Linked DNA regions of Saccharomyces cerevisiae S288C. Changing the gene in region 1 together with any one later gene gives a genetic interaction. Each region holds a gene or a part of one and is shown in the gene's direction. Other genes may lie near its edges. The genes, in order: MGL2, YPR078C, APE3 and RTR1.

Region 1 (8,050 bases):
ACGTGTATTTTATCGGTTGTAATTGTACTGACAATTTTCGGGCCTCGTTTGGCTGTCGCACTGAAATCTTCGACAGGGTATCGAAGAACGATACAACGATATGCCTATAAAGGTTAGTTAGCCATGATATTACTTCCTGGTTAGCTGGTGCGCTTCTTAGTCCTAACTTGCAAATTTATATCTACGTATAGAAAACTGTCAATATGTCATTACCGTTCTTAACTTCTGCACCGGGAAAGGTTATTATTTTTGGTGAACACTCTGCTGTGTACAACAAGCCTGCCGTCGCTGCTAGTGTGTCTGCGTTGAGAACCTACCTGCTAATAAGCGAGTCATCTGCACCAGATACTATTGAATTGGACTTCCCGGACATTAGCTTTAATCATAAGTGGTCCATCAATGATTTCAATGCCATCACCGAGGATCAAGTAAACTCCCAAAAATTGGCCAAGGCTCAACAAGCCACCGATGGCTTGTCTCAGGAACTCGTTAGTCTTTTGGATCCGTTGTTAGCTCAACTATCCGAATCCTTCCACTACCATGCAGCGTTTTGTTTCCTGTATATGTTTGTTTGCCTATGCCCCCATGCCAAGAATATTAAGTTTTCTTTAAAGTCTACTTTACCCATCGGTGCTGGGTTGGGCTCAAGCGCCTCTATTTCTGTATCACTGGCCTTAGCTATGGCCTACTTGGGGGGGTTAATAGGATCTAATGACTTGGAAAAGCTGTCAGAAAACGATAAGCATATAGTGAATCAATGGGCCTTCATAGGTGAAAAGTGTATTCACGGTACCCCTTCAGGAATAGATAACGCTGTGGCCACTTATGGTAATGCCCTGCTATTTGAAAAAGACTCACATAATGGAACAATAAACACAAACAATTTTAAGTTCTTAGATGATTTCCCAGCCATTCCAATGATCCTAACCTATACTAGAATTCCAAGGTCTACAAAAGATCTTGTTGCTCGCGTTCGTGTGTTGGTCACCGAGAAATTTCCTGAAGTTATGAAGCCAATTCTAGATGCCATGGGTGAATGTGCCCTACAAGGCTTAGAGATCATGACTAAGTTAAGTAAATGTAAAGGCACCGATGACGAGGCTGTAGAAACTAATAATGAACTGTATGAACAACTATTGGAATTGATAAGAATAAATCATGGACTGCTTGTCTCAATCGGTGTTTCTCATCCTGGATTAGAACTTATTAAAAATCTGAGCGATGATTTGAGAATTGGCTCCACAAAACTTACCGGTGCTGGTGGCGGCGGTTGCTCTTTGACTTTGTTACGAAGAGACATTACTCAAGAGCAAATTGACAGCTTCAAAAAGAAATTGCAAGATGATTTTAGTTACGAGACATTTGAAACAGACTTGGGTGGGACTGGCTGCTGTTTGTTAAGCGCAAAAAATTTGAATAAAGATCTTAAAATCAAATCCCTAGTATTCCAATTATTTGAAAATAAAACTACCACAAAGCAACAAATTGACGATCTATTATTGCCAGGAAACACGAATTTACCATGGACTTCATAAGCTAATTTGCGATAGGCATTATTTATTAGTTGTTTTTAATCTTAACTGTGTATGAAGTTTTATGTAATAAAGATAGAAAGAGAAACAAAAAAAAATTTTTCGTAGTATCAATTCAGCTTTCGAAGACAGAATGAAATTTAAGCAGACCATAGTATCCTTGATACATTGACTCATAATCAGTTAAATAGCCATTCAATCCCTTTGAGCTATCAACTTCATATTCCTCCACAAGGTCCTTCCACCCGCGAATTTTACGCAGCCGACTTAATTCATCTCCTGTAAATTGGACCAAGGGTTTGGTGCCATACTTTAATGGACCTACATTGACCCAATGCAGCTCTTTACAGTATTTCTTTAGTGCTTCAATACTGGATAGATATTCAAACATATTTTCCGCGGTATCTATGAAATATGCGCTACAAATGATAATTTTATCATAGTCTTTGGAAATGGGAGAATATCGTGTGAAGTCCCCCCATAGTGGGTCCAGATTACTGCGGTGGCCAACTTTGCTCAAATCTGCCGATAAACTTCTCAACTGATTATCAAACACTGTCTGGCATGAATATTGTTGTACAAAAGGACGTATCTTAACGTCATGCTTATATTCGAGTGCAAATAGGTTACATATGTACATCAAGGCTGATAATTCGATGGAGTCCACCTGTATTTTGGGGAAAGTGGTGGCAAGAGTATGGGATAGGCCACCCACACCAGCCCCTGGGGTCACGATAAGAATTTTCTCTTTCATGTCCCCGGCACTAATCACATGATGGTTGATTCTACTAATGATAAAATTTTGTAAAGGATCTCTTTCCACACTATAGTAAGAGCTGAAATCACGACACAAATGTGCTAATGCTTCATGGACCACACTTTGGCTGCCTCGAGACGAAACTATTGGAAATACGAAGTCAGGATTCAATTGAATAAGGTGACCATCTTTAATCTTATAGCCGTGTTCCGCGCATATCTTTTCAATTTCCTCTGTAAATTCTTCATCGTGTTCGTTGGAATGAATCAATTTCCCTAAAGTGAACTCAATTATCTTGTCAATAACTCTTGCGTTTTCTCGGATACCCTCATTATTTTTCATTAATTTGGTGAAGTAGCCTAATTTTTGCAACTGATCTTCTGAAATTCCATTTAATTGTCTTGCTCTCCGAAATAAAAGGCCATTATAGCCTTCTCCTCTTGCTCGATACTCATGTAAACGGATTAAATTCCCCGTAAGATCAGGAAGAGTGGGAATCTGATAATTAATTTTAGAAAGATTCGATTGATCGGCAGATATTGATTTCTCAACATCAACCAATTTTAAGGAGGGCGATAAAACGCTGACTTTTTGGGCCAGATTTGATTTTCTTGATAATAGCTTTTCAACATATGATACAAACCACCTCTGCAACGGCTTATTTTGCCTTAGCAGTGTCATCAGGACTACCACAAGGGCTAGAATTATATTTGATGCCAGTGAGCTAACCATTGGCGCTCCTCAACTTCGTATATCAATATTTTTACCTCTTCTATTTCCTGAAAAATTTGTTAATTGTACAGCATCGTTTACGTTTTTTTTTTTTTACGGGTCTTCTTACCTAACCCCGAAAAGTATTGTGGATCTTAAAAGGGTCTCAATTATTTGAAGTTCGATAAAAACCAACTACTTTGTTATTTTAAAACTGTATTATACAAACGCTGGTAAACTTCCAGAGACGATATGCGTCTAAAAGAATTGTTACCTAATTTTTTGATTGTTCATCAAGAGGTCCCTGAGGATCCTATTGCATTCAAGTCCACCGATAAACGAGAGAATGAAAATAAAGAGATCACCATCCCTGAGCTAATAGATACTAAAGTTCCTGAATTAGCTGACGGTGCTACTGACACTTTATATGGTTTACTGGTCAATGGCCATTTACAAACTGCATATGGTTCCTTTAGACACTTTGACAATATATACAAAGTTCAATATAAAAGAATGATAATCAAATACCCACATGGGGGAGAAGGGACTGTGGATTTTGCTGTAAATGGTAGAAGTACCAAAAGAAGAAAAGTGGAAAAAGAATACGTGCCGACAAGTCAACCGGTATTTAACGGAAACTTGAAACGAAGATATTCGTACTATTCCCCTGATGATCCTAAATTGAACTCAGACGATGCTAAGCCTATGCTTATTATTCTCCATGGATTAACAGGGGGTTCGAGGGAAAGCTACGTGAGGGCAATTGTTCATGAAATCACCACGAAGTATGACTTTGAAGCATGCGTGTTTAATGCTAGAGGATGTTGTTATTCTGCAATTACAACGCCGCTATTATACAACGGTGGTTGGACCAATGATATAAGATATTGTGTTAATGACTTGAGGAAAAGATTTCCGAATAGAAAGTTTTATATGATGGGATTTTCGTTAGGCGCATCTATAATGACAAATTACTTGGGAGAAGAGTCAGATCGTACTAAAATCGAATGTGCTATTTCCGTGAGTAATCCATTTGACCTGTACAACTCTGCATATTTTATTAACAGTACACCAATGGGGTCACGATTTTATTCACCTGCTTTGGGTCACAACTTACTACGCATGGTTCGAAACCATCTCTCTACTCTGGAAGAAAACCCTGATTTCAAAGATGTTATCGAGAAGCATTTAAAAAAGATTCGCACTGTGAGGCAATTTGATAACTTGTTGACAGGCCCAATGTTTGGATATAAAAATGCAGAGGAGTATTACAAGAATGCTTCATCATATAAAAGAATACCCGGGATCAGAACTCCTTTTATAGCTTTGCATGCTCAGGATGACCCAATTGTCGGAGGTGATCTTCCTATAGACCAAATAAAATCCAATCCATACACTTTGCTTCTAGAAACTTCGACGGGGGGGCATGTTGGATGGTTCAAAGACAGATCCGGCAGAAGGTGGTACGCAGAACCCTTATGCAGATTTTTGAAAATATTTCACGACGAAATTACTGTAAAGGGCTTAAAACCTGACTTGGAAAATGTTCAACTCCCAGATCCTAATTGCGAACCCATAGCCACAACCTTTCGCGCGAATTAGTTTGTAAATAAGTCAACTTTTTAGATGTGTAACCTGATAATTTTTTTTTTTGATGTTCGACATCATTATTTCTGAATGAAAACGTGAAAAGCTTCGCCAAACTTAAAATGGAAAATTTCGAATGGAACAAAATATAATCGATGCGATGAATTAAAACCTTGGAAGAAGAGGGTTAATTGTTAAAATTACATATATAATTGGCAGACAAGAATAAAAAATGCATGAAGTAGTAACGATATCGGTTTCGCAGAGAGCAAACCATTTGACTACTCAATTCTTCAATATACAAGAGGGCTATTTACAATTGTCTAAAGAACAACAAGTCAATGACTCCAAAATTTTTCTGAATTCGGTTGTAGATAAAGTTTCAAAAACAATTTCATATGCACCACGTGCCTTACTTTGGGATGCCCGTACAGGTAATGGTTCACTAGGAACATATCAATATTCAGAAAGCCAAGACTATCATTTCGGCAATGAAGACAAATTCAAGGAGCAAACAGTTATAAAGACTCATCCAAGAATACCTAAATCCGAATATCAGAGTTCTCTAGATGCAGGAGCACCGCTGCCTTGTTTGAACAGAGAAAATACGATGTATTGGTCTGACTATTCTAAACTTATCTATGGTCCTTCAAGTTTCAATATTTTGAGAAATTGGTACCATGACACTGAAAATCCAAACCAACCTGACTTTCAAAACTTGGGGGAGCGAAAGTTTGACAGGTATTCCATTGGTTATGACGAATTTACCGAAAATTACTTGCAAGAGTTTTTTGATGGAAATTTGCATAGAGAATTGGAAAAATGTGACACCCTGCAAGGCTTCAATCTTGTAAGTGATATGGAGAGTGGATGGGGCGGGTTTTCTAGTGCTCTACTGGTGGAATTAAGGAATGAATTACCTAAAAAGGCGGTCTTTTCATGGGGACACAATGAAGATGATCCATTCACAGATGACTTCCCTATGAAAAGACTTTCAAAGAAATGGCTCCCGATCATTTCGAACAAATTAAGAAGCACAATAAATATGATGCAAGAATCCGATCTTTACTTCCCATTGTATGCTGCTCCTGGACTAACTAATTGGGAAACTGCTGGAAAGAGCTGTAGGATATTTGATTCTATAAATGCGACAATTTCCCAAAGCAATCTTGAACAAAGAAAGACAATGGATTATCTAACAACTGCCATTACCTTAGGATATTCGTCGCGAAATATGGTCACTGGCATGGTTATCGGTGACACCGATTACTCATTCTGTTCTCGAGTACTTCCTTTCAAGAATAGCCACAAACCAAATTCTACTCACATATTTTCAAAAAGTTTCATTGATAGAGGAAATCAAACGCATAAACATCATTCCGAACCTGATTCACGGAGTAAGATGATTGAAATGTATACACACAGGTATTTTCCATCTGATACGATACCGACAGAATTTTCCAATGATCGTGAATTTGTTTTGGAATTAGAATCATCTGAAAAAAATCGAGATATATTCAAACATTGGAATGAGTTTGTGGTAAGGTACTTCAAAAATGATAGTGACAGAGAAGAATTGAAAAATGAACTTTCCGATTACGCCTCAGCGTACGAATCTGGGTGGTATGAAGACGAAGATTCTGGTGATGACGATATGTGATAAGCAGTTTGCAGCTACGTATTTCCTTTCTCCAGTTGAGGCAAACAGGACTTCTTCCATCTTTTTCGAAGTTTTTACTTCGCCATTTGATCTATATCTACGTAAATTACATTAATTAGAAAGTCATGCTATATCACTCTTGCCCTTGAAAGCATCCACAGCTGTCCGTCAAAAACTTAATTTCTCAAGTGGAGGAGAAAATTTTACCTCTTGAACTTAAAGAATGTAAATCTTCATTTGCGTCTTTAAAGTCATCGTTTTGATTTTCACCAGTTGCTGTTTTTTGCAAAAAGGATTTTCTATTTCCAATGCTACTGCGATCAGAAAGACTAGATATTGGTGCAAGTCGCAGAGAATTTGATCTAGCAACGTCGATTTTATCCAAGCCAACAATATTCTCCTCATCAGGATCTTTGATTTTATTCGCGTCATCTGAAAAAGTTTTCAATTCATTTAATAAAAATGTGATATTAGTGACACGAGATTTCACTGATTGAGAACCCCGAAAAGAGCCATCTCTTTTCATATTATTTGGAATATTCTTTTCATTCATAGTTTTTTTCAAATCGCTAACTTTTGGTGCGGTGGCTCTCATTGTTTTCCATGATCTTGCGTCCTCAGCAACAAACCTATAGATACTACCTTTTGCATTAGCATCAGAAATTACAGTATCGTTAGCTTCTTCTATATTGTCATCTATGCTGTTGTCGAATTTATTTTGCTTGGCCGCAAAATCGTTGTTATCATACACTGCTTTCCCATTTGAAAAAATAGCATTAGGGACATTCTTGTACTCCAGAGGTGTAGTACGAACTTGAGAGTCCGACAGTAAATCAGAAGTAGAAATTTGATTATCACGAGACAATAAAATCTGCGCCCCCTTCTTGCTGTATTTATTTGATCCAGTATCAGAATAGTATGACAATAAATCTTCCTTGGTAAACAAAGTTCTAGTTTGCATTTTGTACTCAGTTTGTGACTTGTAGTCATTGAGTTTTAAAAAGTTAGCTGCTTGTAAATGGTACGAATAATAGGTATACTCAGGCTCAGAAACGTTCTCTAGAAAATAATTCAAACCGGATAATAGTGCCATTTTTCCATACTTGTCAAAGATCTCTTCCATCATTTCTTTTTGCACACCATGTGAATCCAGTTCACGTAATAATGAGTACAGTTTTGAAAAGAGAATGCTGCTTGGAACCTCAGTTTCAACAATGTTAAATAAACATATAATGTGGTTTTTCATGTAATGCGCCAAGTCGATGAATAATTCCAAACTGATACTTGGCTGCGTAATATGTTCAACGAGGAAATCAATATCTTCCACAACTGCATTCTTTTCAACATCCTTGACGGTGTCACTTTTCAATTTCAATAGTAGTTCATATAACATATCTGAGGTCTGTTCAGCGTAATAAGTTTTATGGTTAAGGTCTGTCATGGTGATACAAGACTGTGCCACAACTTCTTTATTAGTTGCATTTTTCAACTGGAAATTTAAAAGCTTTCTCATTATATCAAGAACACTCAACCCCACTATACTGACATCTGAAACAAGTAATGACGACATCAATTTCAAGGAAACAATTGGATTTACATTTTTATCCTTGTCGCTTAGTTGTCTGACCAAAAGAAGTATAACAATATATCGTAACTGAACAGGTATACCATTGCATACAAACTCTAGCAGTTCCTTATTAGGTGTACTTTGCAGACAGCGCAACAGAGTACGAATAGACAAATTCAATTTGTCTGTCTCAGTTGTGTTAAAATAGGATTGCAATGCTTTTACTGAAAGGTCAT
Region 2 (7,732 bases), on another chromosome or scaffold:
TATAAAAGATATGCAACTAGAAAAGTCTTATCAATCTCCTTATTTCTTAGCAGCCTTTTGAGCAGCCTTGGTAACCTTAGCGGCCTTTTCAGTCTTGTCAACAGACTTGATAACACCGACAGCGACAGTTTGTCTCATGTCTCTGACAGCGAATCTACCTAATGGTGGGTATTCACTGAAAGCTTCAACACACATTGGCTTAGATGGAACGAACTTGACCAAAGCAGCGTCACCGGACTTCAAGAACTTTGGATGGTCTTCCAACTTCTTACCAGATCTTCTGTCGTTCTTTTCCAACAATTCGTCGAATCTACAAGCAATGTGAGCAGTGTGACAATCCAAAACTGGAGAGTAACCAGCAGAGATTTGACCTGGATGGTTCAAAACAATGACGGTAGCGTTGAAAGAAGCGCAACCCTTTGGTGGATCGTTCTTAGCGTCACCACAGACGTTACCTCTTCTGATTTCCTTAACGGAAACGTTCTTGACGTTGAAACCAACGTTGTCACCTGGAACACCTTGTTCCAATTGTTCGTGATGCATTTCAACGGACTTGACTTCAGTGGTAACACCAGCTGGGGCAAAAGTAACAACCATACCTGGCTTGATGACACCGGTTTCAACTCTACCGACTGGCACAGTACCAATACCACCAATCTTGTAAACATCTTGCAATGGCAATCTCAATGGCTTGTCAGTTGGTCTAGATGGTTGTTCAATGGCGTCAATGGCTTCCAACAAAGTCTTACCCTTGACGACACCGGCCTTGGTTTCCTTTTCCCAACCCTTGTACCATGGAGCGTTGGTGGTAGCTTCAATCATGTTGTCACCGTTCCAACCAGAGATTGGGACGAATGGAACAGTCTTTGGGTTGTAACCAACCTTCTTGATAAAGTTGGAGGTTTCCTTGACAATTTCTTGGAATCTGGATTCGTCCCATTTGACGGAGTCCATCTTGTTGACAGCAACAATCAATTGTCTAACACCCAAGGTGAAAGCCAACAAAGCGTGTTCTCTGGTTTGACCATCCTTAGAGATACCGGCTTCGAATTCACCGACACCACCAGCAATAATCAAGATAGCACAGTCAGCTTGAGAAGTACCAGTAATCATGTTCTTGATGAAATCTCTGTGACCTGGAGCATCAATAACGGTAACTTGGTACTTTGGAGTTTCGAACTTCCACAAAGCAATATCGATAGTGATACCTCTTTCTCTTTCAGCCTTTAACTTGTCCAAAACCCAAGCGTACTTGAAAGAACCCTTACCTAATTCAGCGGCTTCCTTTTCGAACTTTTCGATGGTTCTCTTGTCAATACCACCACACTTGTAAATCAAATGACCGGTAGTGGTAGACTTACCAGAATCGACATGACCGATAACGACAACGTTAATGTGAGACTTCTCTTTACCCATTTTGTAATTAAAACTTAGATTAGATTGCTATGCTTTCTTTCTAATGAGCAAGAAGTAAAAAAAGTTGTAATAGAACAAGAAAAATGAAACTGAAACTTGAGAAATTGAAGACCGTTTATTAACTTAAATATCAATGGGAGGTCATCGAAAGAGAAAAAAATCAAAAAAAAAAATTTTCAAGAAAAAGAAACGTGATAAAAATTTTTATTGCCTTTTTCGACGAAGAAAAAGAAACGAGGCGGTCTCTTTTTTCTTTTCCAAACCTTTAGTACGGGTAATTAACGACACCCTAGAGGAAGAAAGAGGGGAAATTTAGTATGCTGTGCTTGGGTGTTTTGAAGTGGTACGGCGATGCGCGGAGTCCGAGAAAATCTGGAAGAGTAAAAAAGGAGTAGAAACATTTTGAAGCTATGGTGTGTGGGGGATCACTTGTGGGGGATTGGGTGTGATGTAAGGATTCGCGGTCCTCGAAAATTAAAAGTCCAACGCGCCTGTTGCTTCCTATGTGATATGTATTATATGTAATATGCATAAATATATCTACTGCATTGTATTTTGAACGTACAAAGTATGCATTGTTTATACGCTATTATCAGCCAAAGTTGGGTGGTCGCTTTCTGTTGTATGACTATTGATGTCTAGGCTGTCAATAATTTCGTTTTGAGCCTCCATGTCTCTGAAGAACTCCCTGTTGGCAAGGCTGGACGAAGAGGCAGATGGGGATGACCGTAGTCTTATGCCCCCTTGACGGCTGTTCCTGCCTCTGACTAAAGACCTCATTAAAGATTTCGTGAACCTTCTTGTCGTCTTAATTATCCCGTTGAAAAATTTACTCCAGCGAGACCCGTCCTCTATGAGGTCCCAGTGTGGTTGCTCATTTAAAGATGGCGATATGTCGTGTAACTCGTCGTCGTTTTTCAAATGCCTATTTAGTTTAGCATAGATCCATCTTCTCCCCGCAAATTCGACTAAAAAGAATATAGCGAAGATACCGATGAAGATACCCAAAACGTTAACTTCATTCTTTTTGTTTGAGGTGGGGCACGCATGAATGCTGCGGACTTCGAAGAAATACGAGCAATTGTGTAGGTTTCCAATGTATGATATCTGGGCCTTTGATTGAATTTCTTTATCGCAGACAAAATTCAATAAAGTTGCCTTCTTGTCCTTCCCGTTCGGGCACATAGAGCCGTTTTCGTATTTGAGAGTTAATTTCTTGGCAGTAGAGCCGCCGACTAACGCAGGCCTTGTACTGAAGTCTCCAATCGATACTAAATTATTTTCGTTCAACTGGTCTACGTAAAAAGCGCCCGTTAGATTGGACAGTTGTTGCGACTCAGCTTCTCCGACAGGACTAGAGCAGATGCCTAACGTGAAGTTTGTATCGTAGCCCCAACCTCTCACTGACCACTTCGTCTTGGAGGATTCATGCTTGTTATTGCCAGAAATCTGTTTTTGGCCCTCCCTTAATTTGTTGGGAGTTGAAGATAGCTGTGATAGATCTATGTATGATCCGGTGACTGGGTTGGTTACCGCACAAAATAGATCTTCATCGTTTTCGCTTTTGGGTTTATCCGGATTTGCTAACGTTCTTTTTTGCTTGTGAGAAGCCCTATGTTCATTGGCTTCATGGGACAGTCCTGGACCATTGTATACATGCAAAAGTATTGGTATGGTAATGATTAGGACACATGATAGATATATTAGAGATGATCGTTTCAACATATTTTCCAGTGTGCGATCCTACAGTATGTTTTATGTTCTATAAAATAAAGCCCTTTTTTGAGAAGTAGTATGCTTAGTAAGAGTCTCCTGTAGTTTTGCGTTCTTATTATTGAAATTGAAATACTTGGCATTTTCTTCAAAACTTAACCCTTCTTGTTTCGGATACCTCTTGTACCTGCACCCGAAAGGGAAACGCGGCCAAATACAGCCGCAAAGTGACAGTAATGTGAATAAGTATAAGAAAGGATTAGTGAGCGGGAACTACAGTTTGGTAAATAATTAATTTGAAATTTACTGCCAAGGTAGAAAGGTGTCTTTTTTTGAATTTTTTTTTTTTTTTTTCAGAAGAAGGTTTTTCTTTTTTTTTGCTGAATATTTTCTATAATTATTTAGTGCTTCATTTTGATGTCACAAAAAAGTAATACTATAAAAAAAGATTTTATGTAGAATGGATAATTTGTGAAAGCATTCCTGGGATTTTTTTATAAATTTCTCATAAGTGTTGTAATAAAAGCTAACAAAAGAGACTGACTTCATAAGTAAGGGTAGCAAGCGTAAGTATAACTAAAAAACAAAATCATATAAAAAGATAAAATATCAATCATGCAAACGATTTCTGGAGTCTTACCAACAGTATTAAGCCCCTCAGAGCTTAGGTCTGATGATGAACGAACCTTCCAGTTTGACGAAGAAGCTGAAATAACAACGCATTTGACTGAAAGCGAAGATTTACGAAGGTTAATCAATGAGACTGCACAATTAGGTGTCAGAGTTGATCATATTCACGATAAAACTGACCAAGAAATTGCCAGGCTGGAAAAAGTGATTAAAGAAGTTACTGAAAGTGATACTTTTTTCCGATCTTGTTCTGGCTGGTTTAAAACCAATAAGAATTTTTCTGACAGTGAAAGCAGTTCAAATACGCAGCTGAAGAGTCTTTCTCAATTGCATGGCCGCTATGATCGTGATTGGAGACAGAGGTTGAATAAGTGGTTTAGAAAAAATAAGAGTAAATTAGCCCTACCATCTGATAATAATCTGGAAGAGGTAAACGATGATAAAGTATATGGATATGGAGAGGACTTGATGGAACGGGGCAAGACACCATATTTTAGTGATATTGATGATTTTATGAATGGATTGAATATTATATCACCCTTAACACCTGACGATTTTGAAAATGACGATACATTAGTTAAAATTGATGAAACCTGCCAAATTCACTCCGCTTCTGAACCTGAGAAGACCTCCATAAGTCCCACATTTGGGAAAAATATCAAAAAGGAGCTAGTAACTGATGATACGGAAAGCATTATTAGCGGGCCTCCTTTGCAAGAGAATAAAAAGACTCTTTTGAAATACCGATATGTCAGGACTTCTCTTGATATGCTCGGCTCTGAAAAGAGTAGTTCTAAAAATAACAGCGGTGGTATGTTCCGTATTTTCCATAAGAGTGCTAATTTTGGCGACAAAAATCAAGAAAACGTGCCACGAGTGTGGGACACACTTAGAAATAATTTGGGAAGGGAAATTTATCTTTTGCAAGGAAGATTCAAAAAATGGACTACAAAGCATCAAAATCTTAAGAAGGGCCAACCTTGTAAAGATGAAGACGCCGTTACCGTTCCCTTACCATCATCTGATCCGGGAAAGGAAACACAGTTGGAAACTAAACTCTGTTTTGTGCCCGAACCAGGTGATCAGCCTTTGGTACAAGCATAACCGTGTAAAAGGTTAATGAGCAAACGTTCCTTGCTTGTGTCAAGACATGTTCGGGCAAGATATAAATAAAATTCAAATAATGCCAAGTATCAATAAATTCTGTTTACATTTCCGCACTATAGTGCATTCTTGAAATCGAAACGCGTTAAGTTCTCAATAAACAACGCGTTACCCTCTCAACAGAAAATAATGCCCCATTGTCCTGGGGTGAATTTAAAATCAAATGATTATAATGTGCGCTATTGTTGCACTGCTTCCCAGGCCGAATAAGAGAGGCACCACATTTATCAAACTGGTTACGTTCGTTTTCTGAAAATCAAACAAAAAATGTCGAGCTCCTCCAAGGCTTCTGCAAGTTCATCCTTGTCAAGCACAGCCACCTCTTCAACTTCTGCAACTAGAGGCAGCGACGGATGTGTTGTTTGCGATTCAACTGCATCATGCCCTGTTTGCGCTTCAGGAGAATATTGTGTTATGACTTCATTAACATGTGACAAGTGCCCATCCACATACTGTGCGAAACAGTCCGATTCACAACTGAGTAGTTTATCTTCCTCCTCCTCTAGTTCTAGTTCCAGTAATTCAAATGAGAAAACCTCGTTGATTGTGGGGTTCACCGTGGGTATTGTAGGTGGTGCGATGCTTATTGCCTTGGTGGCGTTGTATTTCATCAACAAGAGATATTGGAAGCCCAAAAGGCAAAAAAATAAAGCTTTGAAATTGGAAGAGGCATCGCAAAGTTACGGGAATGAAGAGGAATACTTCGACGATGAAGACGATGATGATGAAGACGATGAGGATGATGGCGGTATGAGAAAAGATGAAAGTCACACCCTGTTCAATACGTCACTGGTACCTCCAACTCTCAACGTGCCGGGAAACAGAAGTTCAGCATCTACCACTCGTACAAGGGCTTCTAATATTTTGCCTATTGCCTACATTCCTGGTGTGACAAGCGGTTTGAGTACCGACAAACTGCAATCAAAACTACGCTCGAGCTCTAAGAGACAAAATGCAGCTGGTGATATCAGGTCACATATAACCTTAGGTTCTTCCATCTTGGATGGTCTGGATGACGAAGATGACGAGCATAACCAGGTACTCAATAAGGACGCAGACGATAACCTCATAACTGCTATTCGTGCTAAACCTAAACTGGTTCAAATCGCAGAGGAAGAGAGTGATAAGGAGATTCAGGACTTGGATGTCATTGAAGAACAGACAGAGGCGGATGATCTTTCACACATGGCAAAAAGCGAGGCAAGCCATGGTAATAACGACGAAGATGACGATGAAGAAGGAAGTTTTATACTGGACTTGGAAATTCCAGAATCGATACGCGAGAGCACCCAGGGCAGTCGCACTGAGAGCCCGTTTGAGGACAAGTTCGAAATACACGATGAACGATAAATAAAAGGCGTGTCAGTATTCTGCAATCCCGGGGAAAATATTATATCATATCAATATTCAATGATCTACGTCTATATAGTTACGTGTATACGCCGTAATAAGCGCTTTTTTTTTTTTTTTAATTTTCTGACTACTGTTCAGCCATCAAGGTATGTCTAAATTAATAATATTCAGCATTTTCAACGTGCGCTTACCATCTGCTAATACACAGCTCCTCTGAAAGTTTCTTGGCCGAATGTCATAATTTTCGAACCAAATATAAAAATTCATACACATTAAAACAAGATGTGCTTACAAAGCGGATAAGTTCCGCAGCAGCCAAAGCTGCATTGAGACATTTTTCGCATACACATCACTTCTCTGGGGAATGAAGCATCCGAAAACGCCAACGGGACTAAAATACAGCAAACTTGCATTTTGGTCATTTATGGTTAGCAAGTTTAAGTGCTACTACATTACATATTACCTGACCCTGAAAACGGGCTTAAAAGCCCATCTACTATAGTGCCGCTGCGGGTAACCGTAGCTTCTTGCTTTTTTTCCCACCGTCATTTATTTTCTAGTCTTCTTTCCGAGAAATGCCGGCGGCGTTTGCCGTTCCGTTCGCAATCTCTCGAGAAGTTCGAGAGATGAAAAATTTTCTTGGGAAAGCCAAGAAGGTACGATCGTAGGCATGATTCATATATAAACTCTTTCCCAATCTTTTTGGTTACGTACATACTCCCCCCTGATCTTTTACCTACATACTTGATCGTGACTTCTTGATTCATTCATTTCTTGTTCTCACCGTTGTCTTCCTTTTAAATTTCGTTTTTTAAGTTTCAGATCAAACTGAAGTACAACAGAGAAGGAAGCTCATCCCAAGCAACTCTACATAGTTACCTCTTTAGCAAACAAAATGACTCAATTCACTGACATTGATAAGCTAGCCGTCTCCACCATAAGAATTTTGGCTGTGGACACCGTATCCAAGGCCAACTCAGGTCACCCAGGTGCTCCATTGGGTATGGCACCAGCTGCACACGTTCTATGGAGTCAAATGCGCATGAACCCAACCAACCCAGACTGGATCAACAGAGATAGATTTGTCTTGTCTAACGGTCACGCGGTCGCTTTGTTGTATTCTATGCTACATTTGACTGGTTACGATCTGTCTATTGAAGACTTGAAACAGTTCAGACAGTTGGGTTCCAGAACACCAGGTCATCCTGAATTTGAGTTGCCAGGTGTTGAAGTTACTACCGGTCCATTAGGTCAAGGTATCTCCAACGCTGTTGGTATGGCCATGGCTCAAGCTAACCTGGCTGCCACTTACAACAAGCCGGGCTTTACCTTGTCTGACAACTACACCTATGTTTTCTTGGGTGACGGTTGTTTGCAAGAAGGTATTTCTTCAGAAGCTTCCTCCTTGGCTGGTCATTTGAAATTGGGTAACTTGATTGCCATCTACGATGACAAC
Region 3 (8,462 bases), on another chromosome or scaffold:
TCGACGGGGACGTAGGAATTACATCACAAGCTCGAGTAAGAAATCCTCGAGCTCAAATCTTCGAGGATAGTAATACTGACGTAGTATTGCATTTGGATGATCTTGATATGGTCCCACTAAATACGAAGTTCGATATGCAGATGGAGATGGGTTCACCCATGGCGATGCCGGCAGAAACGCCACCTCCTGTCGAACCTTTAAAAACAAAAGATCTAGCATATTCATCCTTGGCTCACCTTCCTAGCTATTTCTTTGAGCAAACACATTTCCGCATAGACCGCAAATGCCTGTTGGAAATGTCTAAGTTAAGGCGAAATTATCTAACTATAAGTAAACAAGATGCTTTGTCATGTCCGCAGCTTCATTCAAGAGTGGCTGGGGGTTATCTTAAACCTGTAAAAGAAAAATTATTTGGAATACGTCACTTTCTTGATCTAGAGGAAAGTAATACTGTAAACCTCCTCCAGGATGGTAATTATATGACGGAATTGTTCAACAGTCAGATTAATATCCCCACTTTTAAAGAATTTAGGGAAGATTTTGAATGGTGCTTGAAAATTATAAGAGATAGAAGCCTATCAAGGTTTAGCGAAAAAAGATTACAATATCTTGTAAATAAGTTTCCAGTTTTTCAACACCTACATTCCAAGGAAGAAATGAGACAGAGCAAAAAGGTGCCACACAAGGATTTTTACAACTGTAGAAAGATTGATCTGAATCTTCTGTTAAGCGGCTGTTTCTCACAGTGGCAATTGACTGAGTTTATTTGGACCAAGTTGAGAAAAGAACCGGACAGGGTTATCCATCAAGCTTTTAATGGTAGTCATATAACCTTGAGCCAATTATTCAAAGTGAATTTCGAGGAGACCGGTCAGTTCTTCAATGGGTTGAAAATTATTGACGATTCATTTTTGGAGTGGTATAAAGTTATTTATCTCGCAAAATATCATTTGGTTAACGATGAAATGGAAATACACACAGGCTCACACGGTAAGCAGCTTCGATACTATTTGATTGCGAAAACATTTTTGGAGTTTGATAACTATATTAATGGTGAATACTTAGCGGAACTACTGAAAACGTTTTTAATAAAACCGCAAGAGGAGTCGAAATATCAGTTATGTCAACTCTCCGTGGACTTCCAATTTTATCTGCATTACGATAATTCCGATGTGGACAATTGGTGGATGGTCTTTGCCAATTGGCTGAACCACTATAATATATTTTCTAACAATATTCGCTGGAATATTCGCATTTCTAGAATTTATCCAGAACTGTATCATACTGGCAAGGTGAAGAATTTTCAGGAGTATTTAAATCTAATCTTCAAACCACTTTTCAATGCCGAAAATTATCTACACAAGTCATTAGGACCTATTCTTTTGAAATTTCTTTCTCAAGTATCTTCGATTGATCTATGTATTCAAGATACGGACAACTATATTTGGAAAAACTTCACAGCAGTTAGTTGCTTGCCAAAAGATTGGACATCTGGCGGTGATAATCCAACCATTTCACAATATATGTATTACGTCTACGTCAACCTAACAAAATTGAACCATATCCGCCAAGCCCTTCATCAAAATACCTTCACTTTGAGAAGTTCATGTTCTCCCACCTCAATGAATCGAACTTCACAGTTTAGTAATACACTGAACTTCACAGAACATACGGAAGCTATTTTAAACAATTTCTTGCTCGCCTGTGGAGGGTTTCTAAATGCAGAAAATCTCTGGAATGCACCACCATCACTGGTGTATCTTTTCTATCTAAGTCAAATTCCCATGGTTGTGGCGCCTTTGAATTCCATAGTAGATTCAAAGCCTACAATGCTGCAAGAACAAGCCCCGACGGGGCTTGTCCTAGAGCCCTCAAAGCCTTATAAGAAGAACCCTTTCATGAAGTTTTTTGAAATGGGGTTCAAGATATCGCTGAGCTCAGAATCTATCCTCTACAACAATTCGTATACGAAAGAACCCATTATAGAAGAGTATAGTGTAGCGGCTAGTATATACCGTTTACATTCAGCAGATTTATGCGAACTTCTAAGAAACAGTGTCATAACCAGTGGATTTTCAAGTACCCTAAAGAACAAATGGCTCGGCGTTTCCTTAGCCAGCCATGACTACTTCGTGGAAAACACTGGGTTTGTAGACAAGTGGTATGATTGTAAACCAAATACAAGTTTAGAGCATAACGTTCCGATCATCAGACGTCAATATCGCAGTAGCACTCTCGCAGGGGAGTGGCGACTCATAATTGCGTGAATTCGCTCATGTTTCTTCGAGGGGCGCATATTGTGACGCTAATATTATGTACCGCCCTTCCCCACACACACAAAAAAAAAAGGTTAAGGATAAAGATAAGTAAACTAATGGAATATATAAACAAATAAGTAAGTAGATACTGTAAATAGAACACACGTTTTTTAATTTATTTTTTTTTTTACATATCTTAATTTAATATAAATCAAAAAGCCCAAGCCTCAAACAAGAGTCTTATCACTCCATTTATAACATAACAATTCGAAATCTCTAAGCTCGCTTATAGTTGACAATGACCATATTTTCTAGGTTCTCATATTTTGATAGTCTATTCTCCTTTAAAAAGCAAGAGCCTTCCCCCATTGAAATAATCTATTGCAATGAAAACAATGGTTTCATAAACATAAAATCCTTAGAAAGCCCCACTGACGATAGCATGGAGGCGGACATTTCAGATAGAGAAATGGCTACAATCCTGACTAGAAACAGAAACAATTTGGGTAAGGTTGCCATTGATAAGAAAGGCGTTAATAATCATTGCATAGATTTGAATGAGCTGAAAAAGGGCCTTGTCGCCAATGAACACAAATTGGATAACGATAACTCAACACGGCACCAGAACACATATTCACCAGAGGATTCCGTGGAATTTGATAGGTTCGATGATAAACAAAGCAGAATACTAAAGTGTAGCACTAGAAGGAGCTACTTGAGATACAAGAAATAAGACAATTGAGCTGCTTCATTATATATCTTGATATAATCACCTTTCTTATCGTCAGAAAGAGTGTTCTCTATGTTTTTGTGCTTCCATAAATATATAGTTCAAAAAGTAATATCATATACTATTAATAATAAAAGTTATACTGAATATATTGATTAGTTCTATTAATTACTATTGACACACTTTGAATTCCCTTAAATTAACCCTCAGGAAGAAGGGGTCCTTAGGAAAATTTTTCTTTTTTCAATATAAAAGCGAGGAACAATGGATGGGAACAAAACCATGTTCAGCCTTTCAACAATTGGTAGAAGAAGCCAAAAAAAAAAAAAAAACAGAAACGCCAACCATGCACTTTTCTTTGAAGCAATTGGCTGTCGCTGCGTTTTACGCTACCAATTTAGGCTCTGCCTATGTCATTCCTCAATTCTTCCAGGAAGCCTTTCAACAAGAAGAGCCAATTGAGAATTATCTTCCGCAATTAAACGACGATGATAGCTCTGCCGTTGCTGCCAACATTCCGAAGCCACATATTCCTTACTTCATGAAACCACATGTAGAAAGTGAAAAATTGCAAGATAAAATCAAAGTTGACGATTTGAATGCTACTGCTTGGGACCTCTACCGTTTAGCTAACTATTCTACTCCTGACTACGGTCACCCTACCCGTGTGATCGGGTCCAAGGGTCATAACAAGACTATGGAATACATATTGAATGTTTTCGATGACATGCAGGACTACTATGATGTTTCTTTGCAAGAGTTCGAAGCTTTATCCGGTAAGATCATCTCTTTCAACCTCTCTGACGCCGAAACCGGTAAAAGCTTTGCTAACACTACAGCTTTCGCACTTTCTCCACCTGTGGACGGGTTCGTAGGTAAGCTAGTCGAAATTCCTAACTTGGGATGTGAAGAGAAGGATTACGCCTCTGTAGTCCCACCAAGACACAACGAAAAGCAAATTGCCCTTATCGAAAGAGGTAAGTGTCCTTTTGGCGATAAGAGTAATTTGGCCGGTAAGTTCGGTTTCACCGCTGTGGTCATTTACGACAACGAACCTAAATCTAAAGAAGGACTACACGGTACATTAGGCGAACCTACCAAGCACACTGTCGCCACCGTCGGTGTTCCATATAAAGTTGGTAAAAAATTGATTGCCAATATTGCATTGAACATCGATTATTCATTATATTTTGCCATGGACTCTTATGTAGAATTTATCAAGACCCAGAACATCATTGCCGACACAAAACACGGTGATCCTGATAATATTGTTGCCCTTGGTGCTCATTCAGACTCTGTTGAGGAGGGCCCAGGTATCAACGACGATGGTTCCGGTACTATTTCCCTATTGAACGTCGCTAAGCAATTGACCCATTTCAAGATCAATAACAAGGTCCGTTTTGCATGGTGGGCTGCTGAAGAAGAAGGTTTGCTAGGCTCTAACTTCTACGCTTATAACTTGACCAAAGAAGAAAACTCCAAGATCAGAGTATTTATGGACTATGACATGATGGCTTCTCCAAACTATGAATACGAAATTTATGATGCGAACAACAAGGAGAACCCTAAGGGGTCTGAAGAGTTGAAAAACCTGTACGTAGACTACTACAAGGCTCATCACTTGAACTACACTTTGGTCCCATTTGACGGTAGATCCGATTATGTCGGGTTTATCAACAACGGAATTCCAGCCGGTGGTATTGCCACTGGTGCCGAAAAGAATAACGTCAACAACGGAAAGGTCTTAGACAGATGCTACCATCAATTATGTGATGATGTCTCTAACTTATCCTGGGACGCATTCATTACCAACACCAAGTTGATTGCTCACTCTGTGGCCACCTATGCTGACTCTTTCGAGGGTTTCCCAAAAAGAGAAACCCAAAAGCACAAAGAGGTGGACATATTGAATGCTCAACAACCACAATTTAAGTACAGGGCCGACTTCTTGATTATTTAAGTGTACTGTTCACATCAAGTATTTCTGTATAATTATCTAAAAGAAAATAAAAACCCTCTTTTTTTTAACTGCACGTGCATCAAGGGGATCACAGCCTCCTTATCAAAGTGAAAAAAAGGTAGAAAAAAAAACTGAAATTGTGATATAAAAGTTTAAACAGGAAATTATTGTAAATTGAACAATATGTGTGAAGCCCGTTTTTGGTTTGTTATTCCCAACTAACCATACCCTCATAGATTACTCTGCATTTCTACTATATGGTTGAAACATTTAGTTTTGCTCATTTGGCTTATTTGGTCTTTGAGTCCGTTTTACAGGTAGTCATTATCGCACTCGCTGGTTTTTGGAGCGCTAGTTCTGGTCTGCTGCCCAAACAAAGTCAAAAAATCATTTCTCTGTTGAACGTGGACCTTTTTACACCATGTCTTATTTTTAGTAAGTTGGCCAAATCCCTGTCCATGGCCAAAATCTTTGAAATAGCCATCATTCCTATTTTTTTTGGTTTGACTACTGGTATTTCATTTATTTCCGGAAAGATAATGAGCCGTATCCTAGACTTGGATAAAGATGAAACTAATTTTGTGGTGGCAAACTCTGTCTTTGGTAACAGTAACTCTCTACCTGTGTCCTTGACATTATCTTTGGCTTACACTCTGCCCAACTTAACTTGGGACCAAATTCCTAATGATAACAGAGATAACGTTGCATCAAGGGGTATTTTATACTTGCTGATCTTTCAACAAATCGGACAAATGCTGAGGTGGAGCTGGGGTTACAATAAGCTAATGAAGTGGTCTGGAGAGAACACTCAGCATATGCCACCTTCTCAAGTGCAATCTTTGTTGGAAAGGACGCCCAACATTGATAACGAGGAACTTGTCAATGAGGAACAAGAGGAACAAGAATTGCTTGAAGAAGAAAATAACAGAATGAACTCATCTTTTTTGAGTTCGAGTTCCATCGGTGATAAGATTTGGCAAAAATCATGCACTGTATTTGAGAGAATCAGAGCGAACCTTAATCCTCCGTTATATTCCATGATTTTTGCTGTTGTTGTGGCAGCAATTGGTCCGTTGCAGAGAGAGCTATTTATGGAAGATGGGTTTATCAATAACACATTTGCCGAGGCTGTTACGCAGCTGGGTTCAGTTTCTATCCCACTGATCCTGGTTGTCCTCGGTTCTAACTTATATCCTTCTGCGGAAGTCTTCCCTAAGACGGTTCACCATAGCAAGTTATTGATCGGCTCCATCATCGGAAGAATGATTTTACCTTCTTGCTTCCTTTTGCCTATTATTGCTATTGCTGTTAAGTACATAAACGTGAGTATTTTGGACGATCCAATTTTCCTTGTTGTCGGTTTTCTTTTGACTGTTTCCCCTCCTGCCATTCAATTAACTCAAATCACTCAACTGAATGAATTTTTCGAGGCAGAAATGGCCGATATTCTATTTTGGGGGTACGCTGTCTTAAGTTTGCCTGTAAGTATTATTGTTGTCTCAGGTGCAATTTACGTTTTACAGTGGGCTAACCCAACTTAATACAACTTTTCATTCCTTTGTATAGAGTCTTCATGAATGAAAGTCTTATTCATTTTTTTTTTTTTTTAGCATAGTTTTATATTCCTTTTTTATTCCAAGACTTATATTCTCATTATATTCTATTTAGTTTCGCATGGAATTTCAAGTACACATATAACTACAGCCTTACTTGAAAATTGCCTGTCTGGGTCTTATACTTTGCACCCTTGTACAGCTTTGTATTTTTGCCAATTGTTAATCCAGATACAATATCGATGGCTTCTACATAGATTCCACTGGCCGATTGTCCTATGTAAGAATATTCTAAGGAGACTGTTTGTAAATCAACTTTTTTTGTAAAATTTGGCCCAGTATTTTCATACTCAATACAGCCACGTAGTACAGGTACCGTTCCAGTGGCAGTTGATTTATCAAAAATCCATTGTCCTTGACCCATGATAATGCTATTTTCAAAACGGCCATGAGTATTGCGCAATATTTTTATCTTATATGCTATTTCATTTGGATCAGCATTCTCAACATTGAACTGTAAATCTATTTTTAGGTCATCAACTTGTGAAACTTTTTTGAAATTTTCAATATTTAAGGATAACTCAAATTCATCAGAATCTTTACCCAATCCATTTTGGAAGTGTAAAGACATCAAGCCAATAGAATTCATCCTTACTCCGGATTGCTTTACTTGAGAACTTAAATCGACGGAATACTCCAGCAATCTGAACTTCCCATCTGGTGGTATAAACGTTATATTAGAGGGAGAAAACACACCATCATTGATTTCAACACAGTCATGCAAACTGGGTATACCTATATCATTTCCCATAGTGTTTAATTTTACTGCAACTAGAGGATTATCATTCAAATAAGATCTCACGTCCACTATTCCATGGATACTTCCAGTGAGCAACCTTAGATGTGATTTTTTCTTTTCAAATACAACATGGAATGTTTCTAACAAATCCACATAAAGCTCATTATTCTCATGTTTGCTAGCCCTTGAAGTTCTCCAGGGAACAATCTCTTCATTTTCGATTAGTGAATTACTACCACGAGAAATCTGATTTTGTTGTAGCTGCTGTTGCCTTTGTTGTGGGAGTTGCACAGCCTGCTGTAAATTATGGGCTGTAGAACTTATGAACTTCGATAAATCCGATCTTTCAGGAACAGCTTCTTTAATTTTATTAACATAGAGCATATCACTCACATTTGGTTCACCCGCTTCGACGCAACAGTTAAAAATCAAACTGATTCTATCATAATTATTAACAATTTTCTTGATACTTAATTTATCCTTGTCAAAATATTCTAACAGGATACGATCTATAGTCTCTAAAAAGGTAAAACAATCAAGCGGGCCTTTTGACTTCGAAGTGGAGGCTAAGCACCAATAATTGAGCTTATTTATAACTGAGAAATACTTATAGACCTCTAAATCTCTTCCAACCATTGAATGGTCTAAATAATCATCACTACTGCTATCTTCGAGCAATTGAGGACATGTGGACTGAACGCGGGTCCACAGGTGCTTGAAGGAGGGAGCTGTTGCACCTAAAAGATACTGGAAAATAAGTTTGTTCTTTGTATCAGTGATATAGAATGACAAATACATCTATTTTGGTTGGGTTGGTAAGGTTTACAGCCTCTGTTGTTGCCCAAGTCCTGTTATCGCCAACTTTAAATAAATCTCTTCTTGTTCTTTGACCAAAAATTTCATTTTTCGTCGCATTTAAAAGAAACTGAAATTTCAAACATAAACACCAAAACAAAGCATCATCAAGGGAACATATAGTAAAGAACTACACAAAAGCAACAATGAATAATCAGCCGCAGGGTACCAACAGCGTTCCAAATAGTATTGGAAATATATTTAGCAACATTGGAACTCCATCTTTTAACATGGCGCAAATTCCGCAACAGCTGTATCAGAGCCTCACACCACAACAATTGCAGATGATTCAGCAACGACACCAACA
Region 4 (7,745 bases), on another chromosome or scaffold:
ACCGCCACTCATAGCGGTAAGGAAAGACACCGCTAACAAAGCTAAAGAAATCTTTCTCATTGGGCCAATTGCGGGATTATCTAATTTTTTGAAGAGACTAATGGCTTGAACAGGGTTCTTAATCCATTTACATTCTCTCAATATTTCCAAACCAGTCCAGAGCATACCCATGTATAAAAAGAAGGCGGTACCCAAATGCGTAGTAAGTCTATATTGAGAAACGGTAGGCTTTGATTTTCTTGCGTCTAGTTGCTCTTGATCAAGACCAGACTTCACCATCCACCAACCAACAAATCCTTGTAATCCTAATAAACCTGCGAGACCAAACAACCTCTTATTGACATGGCCTGAAGTTTTTTTAGATACAGCGAAATAAACTGCAGGTAATATAAAAACAGCGCCGATAGCACGACCCCACAATCTATGAATCCACTCCATAAAAAATATAAACTTGAACTCGTCTAAATCAATGTGAGAATTCAACAATTTAAATTCTGGTGATTCCTTATACTTGATAAATTCTTCTTCCCATTCCTTCTGGTTCATAGGGGGCAAAGTACCTGTGACAGGTTTCCATTCGGTAATACTCAGCCCCGATTCTGTTAGTCTAGTCAACCCACCAAGAACAACAATACCAAATACCAAACCGGATGTACCTATTAACCAGTAAGCAACATTCTTCGAGGTCTTCAAACGTGATTCTATAGGGTTTGATTCTGAAGCAACATGTGGTTTAAAAACAGGGGAGGAGAGAGAAAATGGACGGATGCTCACAGTTTTCTTAAAATTATATAGTTGAGTCTTTCTGATTTGTTGTCTGATGGTAGAAATATTCCTTGAGGCCCCAATACTTTGCCAGGCCAAACGACTCGAGGTTCTCGTTAATAGCTTAGCTGCCTGCCTGCCCACTTCTATGTTTCTGAAAAGCATGACGTACAGTAGTTACAACTTCAGTGCTGTGCACTATTATATAATACAGTTCCAAGTTACAATAGGAAACTAAATAAACGATAAAGGAAAGATCAATAATTCAAAAGGCAAGAACTTATAAACTGCAAAACAATAGCTTTTTAGTAAGCAGGGTTTCTTTTTTGCTCCTTGCAATATACGAAATATCCGAAAGCCGTAAGCCGCGATAAATGCGGATCTTAGATTACCATATTCTTTTAGAAACCATTTTATAGCGAGCGACATTTTCAAGCGATCGTGGATTCTTGGAATCTTTCTGTCTTCTAATATCATTTAGGCTAGGAGGAGTACATTCAGCAGTTAAAGTAGTTTTTCTTTTCCGCATTGGCGATACACTTTCGGTCTCTATACGATTCTCTTTATTGTAATCAGAATGTAATGCAATTCTTGTAGACACGTCGACTTTACCCATACCGCCCGAGAGTAAACCTGGGACGTATTCTTCTTCAGTTACAACGGTATTGAAAGCTTGGTCTCTGAACCGTTGCTCTATCCGTTTGCTCCATTTGATTAAAATAAGATCTAGTGTAAATTTTGCCAACAATGCTAGTAAAAACACGGATGCCCCCATGAAGAGGATCCTAAATAGCGAAGGAAGGTAAGAAGGTTCCGATGATTTAAAAAGTGTTGGCCTCACCATTACAATAAAAAGGACAACGAATGCAGGTAAAGGCAATCCCAATCTATCTTCTAATTTGTGCGTTCTCGTAGAATAATCCTTGTATATTATATAATAGAACTTATCATATATCTGTGGGCGGATCCGATTGAATTTTGTGATGTAAGCATGCTTTGCCCAATCCACTAACACTTCACTCCCTACCACGCTTACCATCGGCCCACAAAGTATGTTAATGACGATTGATAATGTGGAACGTGGACTCCAGAAATTGATGCTTGTGTTCGATAATGAAGATGACCACGACTGGAGGTTCCTAAGGCCAGTTATTGACAATAATAAGGTCAACTTAAATCTTTCCACTACGTCTGCAATGGTTATTTGGAAAAATCCCTCCTTATCAAATTTCTTTAAAACCGATGATTTGATTTCTGCAAATTGCATGGATAGTAATAAAGTTAGCAAGGCATTGGAATACGAATTCACGGCTATGTTTAATGAAATGGCCTGGTAAACCAATACATAGCCGTGTATAGTCACATATGTCAAGCTCATTGACACTAACAAACATTTATGCAGTAATATCCGTTCCGAGTTTTTCCTAGAAAGCATAACCGTTAATAAGCTCTGGCCCAAACTTGCCAACATTTTGTCCGCCATTTCCAGTACACTGAATAGCATGTACAATTTCATCGTACTTTGCCGTTTTATCCTGTGATATAGTTTTGAGGTGTCTAGTTTGCTCAACAAAATGGATGAAATCACGATGATAAAAATCATACATCTCTCTTTATATTCTCTTGAAGTTATTCTATATCGAAAGGGTATTTTATTCTTATGCCCAGACCGTTGTTGCAGGCGATAATGCTGACGATAACTCTTGAATTGCTTTACATATCCCTTTATCAGTCGTATCGGTAATACAGTAAAGTAATACAAAAAACAGTCCAAGCTTGTTAAAAGTGCAAAGAGCATGAACTTTTCCAGGAACATTGGTATTCTTATCATGTTGAGTAATTGTTCCAATTCATAATCATCCTCATGTTCTTCTTCGCTTTTTGCAGCGCTACTTTCATCTTGCTCTTCAACAATATTGTGTCTATCTATAGTATTCCATAGGAAGGACCACTTTTTGTCTAATCGTGAAATTATATGTATAGCTGACGGCGCACTATTTCTTCTCAGTAAACGTTTTTTAGCTGTGTCCTTCGCTACTGCCGTATCCTTGTGTTGCATGGGAGTGCTGCTTTTTTTTTGGATTACTCGGTAGAATAATATATACACCTTATAGATCGATCAGGTCGATTCAGAGACAGCATCGTGATATTAAAAGTAACTAATTTTCTTATTTCATCTCTTTCCGATATTTTTGTCCGAAATAGGAATACTACAATACAAAATCAGCTGGCATCCAGAAGTGGTCAAAAGCAATGGAAAAGTGAAGAAAGAGACACATTGAGGAGCGAATTGAACAATTCATAAACATTCCCAGTCTAAAATATCTATACATCGGCATCTTAGTTTGAAAAATTAGGACGAAGTTAACAAGAATAAGAAATGGCGACGATTGAAGATATTAAGGAAACGGCGTTAATCCCTTTCCAAAAGCACAGGCAACTTTCCATGCATGAAGCAGAAGTTATAACTTTAGAGATTATAGGCTTATTATGTGATTCAGAATGCAAGGATGAGAAAACATTGAAATATTTGGGCCGATTTCTCACACCGGATATGTATCAAGACCTAGTAGATGAGAGGAATCTAAACAAAAGATGCGGATATCCTCTTTGCGGTAAATCGCCAGAAAGAATACGTGATCCATTTTCAATGAATGATACTACTAAGAAATTTTTATTAGAAAACAATCCGTATGCATATTTGTCGCACTATTGCAGTAAGTTCCATTTTAGATGTTCCCAATTTTATCAAGTGCAACTATCTGATGAAGCTTTATTTGCAAGAACAGGGGTTCACCTATTTGAAGATCCTGAACAGGACAAACACGATATAGATTTCAAAGTGACTTTGTTTGAAGAGTTGCTAAGAGAAAAGGCATCCGAAGAAGACATTAAATCATTGATATCCGGTCTCAAAAAGTTAGGATTAAATCCTGACAGTGGGACTACAGAAAAAGATGATACTGAGCTGGAAGATGATTTATCGAAGTGGTTGGCACAAATCAAAATTGTTGAGAATGATAATCCCAGCATTTTGGGTGATTTCACAAGGGAAGATTGACCGGCTATATCAATGCACCTAAATTCAGAACAGATTATGGACGTTTCATTGGCTGAAAATAGTTAATTCATCATCATAACTTAAAATACTTTACAGCGCCAGGACAAAAATACTGTTATTCGTGTATGTCAAAATGTGGTTCTCAATTTTCTACAATGTAGCGCTTTTATAACTTTGCTATAATTCACTTTGAGTCACCACGTAGCAATTCTTTACATACCTATTGGTTTCTCTGAAGGGCCATCCATATACGAAAGTGTTGCTTCAGAGTTTTGGTTCGAAAATCAACAAGTATTTAATGTGTTGAAGTATCGCGACGTTCCTTCCTTTTGGGCAATAACGGTAGAACTGGCCGTCCAGCATCGAATGGATACAATAGAAGGAAAATTTGGCAATTCAGAACAGTAGATATTTATCTAAGACGACCCAACAGCTAGGACGCTGCAAGAAGAATCGTTCACCTTCAATTTATTATTTGTTTAGCAAGACGAGAGTATGTGGGATTTTTGTGTGATAATTTAATGAAAGTTAGATAGGTGTCTGACTTCGATCTTTCGTTAAACTAATATTCTTAGTTTATAGAATACACTTGAAGCTCTCTTCGAGAACATAGGAAACCCACAGAAGGAAGTCGACACTTCTAGATAATAATATTGTCTCTTTTTTTTTTGTTTTGTATGTTATCAATAATTATCCTACTATTTAGTAAATCTTTTACGTTTCGGCATCCATGGAATTTGATAACCAATTCTCATCATGTATGTCATCTTCCTAGTTTGTGTAGAACGATATACTTATAAGTATATACTAGTCAATTCATGATTTTATTTGACCCTGTTAGTCCATCAATATACGCCATCTTTTTACTAATATATATAATGGCGTTAAAATACCGGTAAATCGTTCAATTGACTATAAGCAGTTTCTTCATTTGTAGAGAATGTGGATTTTGATGTAATTGTTGGGATTCCATTGTGATTAAGGTTATAATATTAGGTATGTAGATATACTAGAAGTTCTCCTCGAGGATTTAGGAATCCATAAAAGGGAATCTGCAATTCTACACAATTCTATAAATATTATTATCATCGTTTTATATGTTAATATTCATTGATCCTATTACATTATCAATCCTTGCGTTTCAGCTTCCACTAATTTAGATGACTATTTCTCATCATTTGCGTCATCTTCTAACACCGTATATGATAATATACTAGTAACGTAAATACTAGTTAGTAGATGTGTTGGAATAGAAATCAACTATCATCTACTAACTAGTATTTACATTACTAGTATATTATCATATACGGTGTTAGAAGATGACGCAAATGATGAGAAATAGTCATCTAAATTAGTGGAAGCTGAAACGCAAGGATTGATAATGTAATAGGATCAATGAATATAAACATATAAAACGGAATGAGGAATAATCGTAATATTAGTATGTAGAAATATAGATTCCATTTTGAGGATTCCTATATCCTCGAGGAGAACTTCTAGTATATTCTGTATACCTAATATTATAGCCTTTATCAACAATGGAATCCCAACAATTATCTCAACATTCACCCATTTCTCATGGTAGCGCCTGTGCTTCGGTTACTTCTAAGGAAGTCCACACAAATCAAGATCCGTTAGACGTTTCAGCTTCCAAAACAGAAGAATGTGAGAAGGCTTCCACTAAGGCTAACTCTCAACAGACAACAACACCTGCTTCATCAGCTGTTCCAGAGAACCCCCATCATGCCTCTCCTCAACCTGCTTCAGTACCACCTCCACAGAATGGGCCGTACCCACAGCAGTGCATGATGACCCAAAACCAAGCCAATCCATCTGGTTGGTCATTTTACGGACACCCATCTATGATTCCGTATACACCTTATCAAATGTCGCCTATGTACTTTCCACCTGGGCCACAATCACAGTTTCCGCAGTATCCATCATCAGTTGGAACGCCTCTGAGCACTCCATCACCTGAGTCAGGTAATACATTTACTGATTCATCCTCAGCGGACTCTGATATGACATCCACTAAAAAATATGTCAGACCACCACCAATGTTAACCTCACCTAATGACTTTCCAAATTGGGTTAAAACATACATCAAATTTTTACAAAACTCGAATCTCGGTGGTATTATTCCGACAGTAAACGGAAAACCCGTACGTCAGATCACTGATGATGAACTCACCTTCTTGTATAACACTTTTCAAATATTTGCTCCCTCTCAATTCCTACCTACCTGGGTCAAAGACATCCTATCCGTTGATTATACGGATATCATGAAAATTCTTTCCAAAAGTATTGAAAAAATGCAATCTGATACCCAAGAGGCAAACGACATTGTGACCCTGGCAAATTTGCAATATAATGGCAGTACACCTGCAGATGCATTTGAAACAAAAGTCACAAACATTATCGACAGACTGAACAATAATGGCATTCATATCAATAACAAGGTCGCATGCCAATTAATTATGAGAGGTCTATCTGGCGAATATAAATTTTTACGCTACACACGTCATCGACATCTAAATATGACAGTCGCTGAACTGTTCTTAGATATCCATGCTATTTATGAAGAACAACAGGGATCGAGAAACAGCAAACCTAATTACAGGAGAAATCTGAGTGATGAGAAGAATGATTCTCGCAGCTATACGAATACAACCAAACCCAAAGTTATAGCTCGGAATCCTCAAAAAACAAATAATTCGAAATCGAAAACAGCCAGGGCTCACAATGTATCCACATCTAATAACTCTCCCAGCACGGACAACGATTCCATCAGTAAATCAACTACTGAACCGATTCAATTGAACAATAAGCACGACCTTCACCTTAGGCCAGGAACTTACTGAATCTACGGTAAATCACACTAATCATTCTGATGATGAACTCCCTGGACACCTCCTTCTCGATTCAGGAGCATCACGAACCCTTATAAGATCTGCTCATCACATACACTCAGCATCATCTAATCCTGACATAAACGTAGTTGATGCTCAAAAAAGAAATATACCAATTAACGCTATTGGTGACCTACAATTTCACTTCCAGGACAACACCAAAACATCAATAAAGGTATTGCACACTCCTAACATAGCCTATGACTTACTCAGTTTGAATGAATTGGCTGCAGTAGATATCACAGCATGCTTTACCAAAAACGTCTTAGAACGATCTGACGGCACTGTACTTGCACCTATCGTAAAATATGGAGACTTTTACTGGGTATCTAAAAAGTACTTGCTTCCATCAAATATCTCCGTACCCACCATCAATAATGTCCATACAAGTGAAAGTACACGCAAATATCCTTATCCTTTCATTCATCGAATGCTTGCACATGCCAATGCACAGACAATTCGATACTCACTTAAAAATAACACCATCACGTATTTTAACGAATCAGATGTCGACTGGTCTAGTGCTATTGACTATCAATGTCCTGATTGTTTAATCGGCAAAAGCACCAAACACAGACATATCAAAGGTTCACGACTAAAATACCAAAATTCATACGAACCCTTTCAATACCTACATACTGACATATTTGGTCCAGTTCACAACCTACCAAAAAGTGCACCATCCTATTTCATCTCATTTACTGATGAGACAACAAAATTCCGTTGGGTTTATCCATTACACGACCGTCGCGAGGACTCTATCCTCGATGTTTTTACTACGATACTAGCTTTTATTAAGAACCAGTTTCAGGCCAGTGTCTTGGTTATACAAATGGACCGTGGTTCTGAGTATACTAACAGAACTCTCCATAAATTCCTTGAAAAAAATGGTATAACTCCATGCTATACAACCACAGCGGATTCCCGAGCACATGGAGTCGCTGAACGGCTCAACCGTACCTTATTAGATGACTGCCGTACTCAACTGCAATGTAGTGGTTTACCGAACC

What was found.
Region 2: mutations in MGL2 (region 1) and YPR078C together harm fitness more than expected from each alone (negative genetic interaction), as found in Saccharomyces cerevisiae (2 studies listed by BioGRID).
Region 3: mutations in MGL2 (region 1) and APE3 together harm fitness more than expected from each alone (negative genetic interaction), as found in Saccharomyces cerevisiae (2 studies listed by BioGRID).
Region 4: mutations in MGL2 (region 1) and RTR1 together harm fitness more than expected from each alone (negative genetic interaction), as found in Saccharomyces cerevisiae (2 studies listed by BioGRID).

Annotation. Positions count from the first base shown.
Region 1 is NC_001145.3:684,264-692,313, forward strand, and holds MGL2 (putative carboxylic ester hydrolase), read left to right. Parts: upstream 1-3,252; coding exon 3,253-4,602; downstream 4,603-8,050. Other genes in the region: ERG12 (mevalonate kinase), read left to right, coding at 204-1,535; YMR209C (uncharacterized protein), read right to left, coding at 1,648-3,021; DML1 (Dml1p), read left to right, coding at 4,820-6,247; EFR3 (Efr3p), read right to left, coding at 6,432-8,050. UniProt on the Saccharomyces cerevisiae protein: Converts monoacylglycerides (MAG) to free fatty acids and glycerol. Has a preference for palmitoyl-MAG. Does not play a significant role in ethyl ester biosynthesis. Also possesses ester hydrolase and low but persistent TAG lipase activity.
Region 2 is NC_001148.4:694,278-702,009, reverse strand, and holds YPR078C (uncharacterized protein), read left to right. Parts: upstream 1-3,744; coding exon 3,745-4,863; downstream 4,864-7,732. Other genes in the region: TEF1 (translation elongation factor EF-1 alpha), read right to left, coding at 40-1,416; MRL1 (Mrl1p), read right to left, coding at 1,996-3,141; OPY2 (Opy2p), read left to right, coding at 5,191-6,273; transketolase TKL1, read left to right, coding at 7,172-7,732. UniProt on the Saccharomyces cerevisiae protein: Induces the SOS system when expressed in E.coli, therefore, it may play a role in DNA metabolism and/or in genome stability.
Region 3 is NC_001134.8:771,366-779,827, forward strand, and holds APE3 (aminopeptidase Y), read left to right. Parts: upstream 1-3,334; coding exon 3,335-4,948; downstream 4,949-8,462. Other genes in the region: YBR284W (metallo-dependent hydrolase superfamily protein), read left to right, coding at 1-2,267; HAB1 (Hab1p), read left to right, coding at 2,557-2,991; YBR287W (uncharacterized protein), read left to right, coding at 5,206-6,489; APM3 (Apm3p), read right to left, coding at 6,647-8,098; SNF5 (Snf5p), read left to right, coding at 8,302-8,462.
Region 4 is NC_001137.3:446,644-454,388, reverse strand, and holds RTR1 (RNA polymerase II subunit B1 CTD phosphatase RTR1), read left to right. Parts: upstream 1-3,145; coding exon 3,146-3,826; downstream 3,827-7,745. Other genes in the region: COX15 (Cox15p), read right to left, coding at 1-930; EMP65 (Emp65p), read right to left, coding at 1,154-2,824; YER138W-A (uncharacterized protein), read right to left, coding at 4,811-4,915; YER137C-A (gag protein), read left to right, coding at 5,365-6,687. UniProt on the Saccharomyces cerevisiae protein: RNA polymerase II subunit B1 C-terminal domain (CTD) phosphatase that dephosphorylates 'Ser-5' of the CTD and regulates RNA polymerase II during the transition from 'Ser-5' to 'Ser-2' phosphorylation.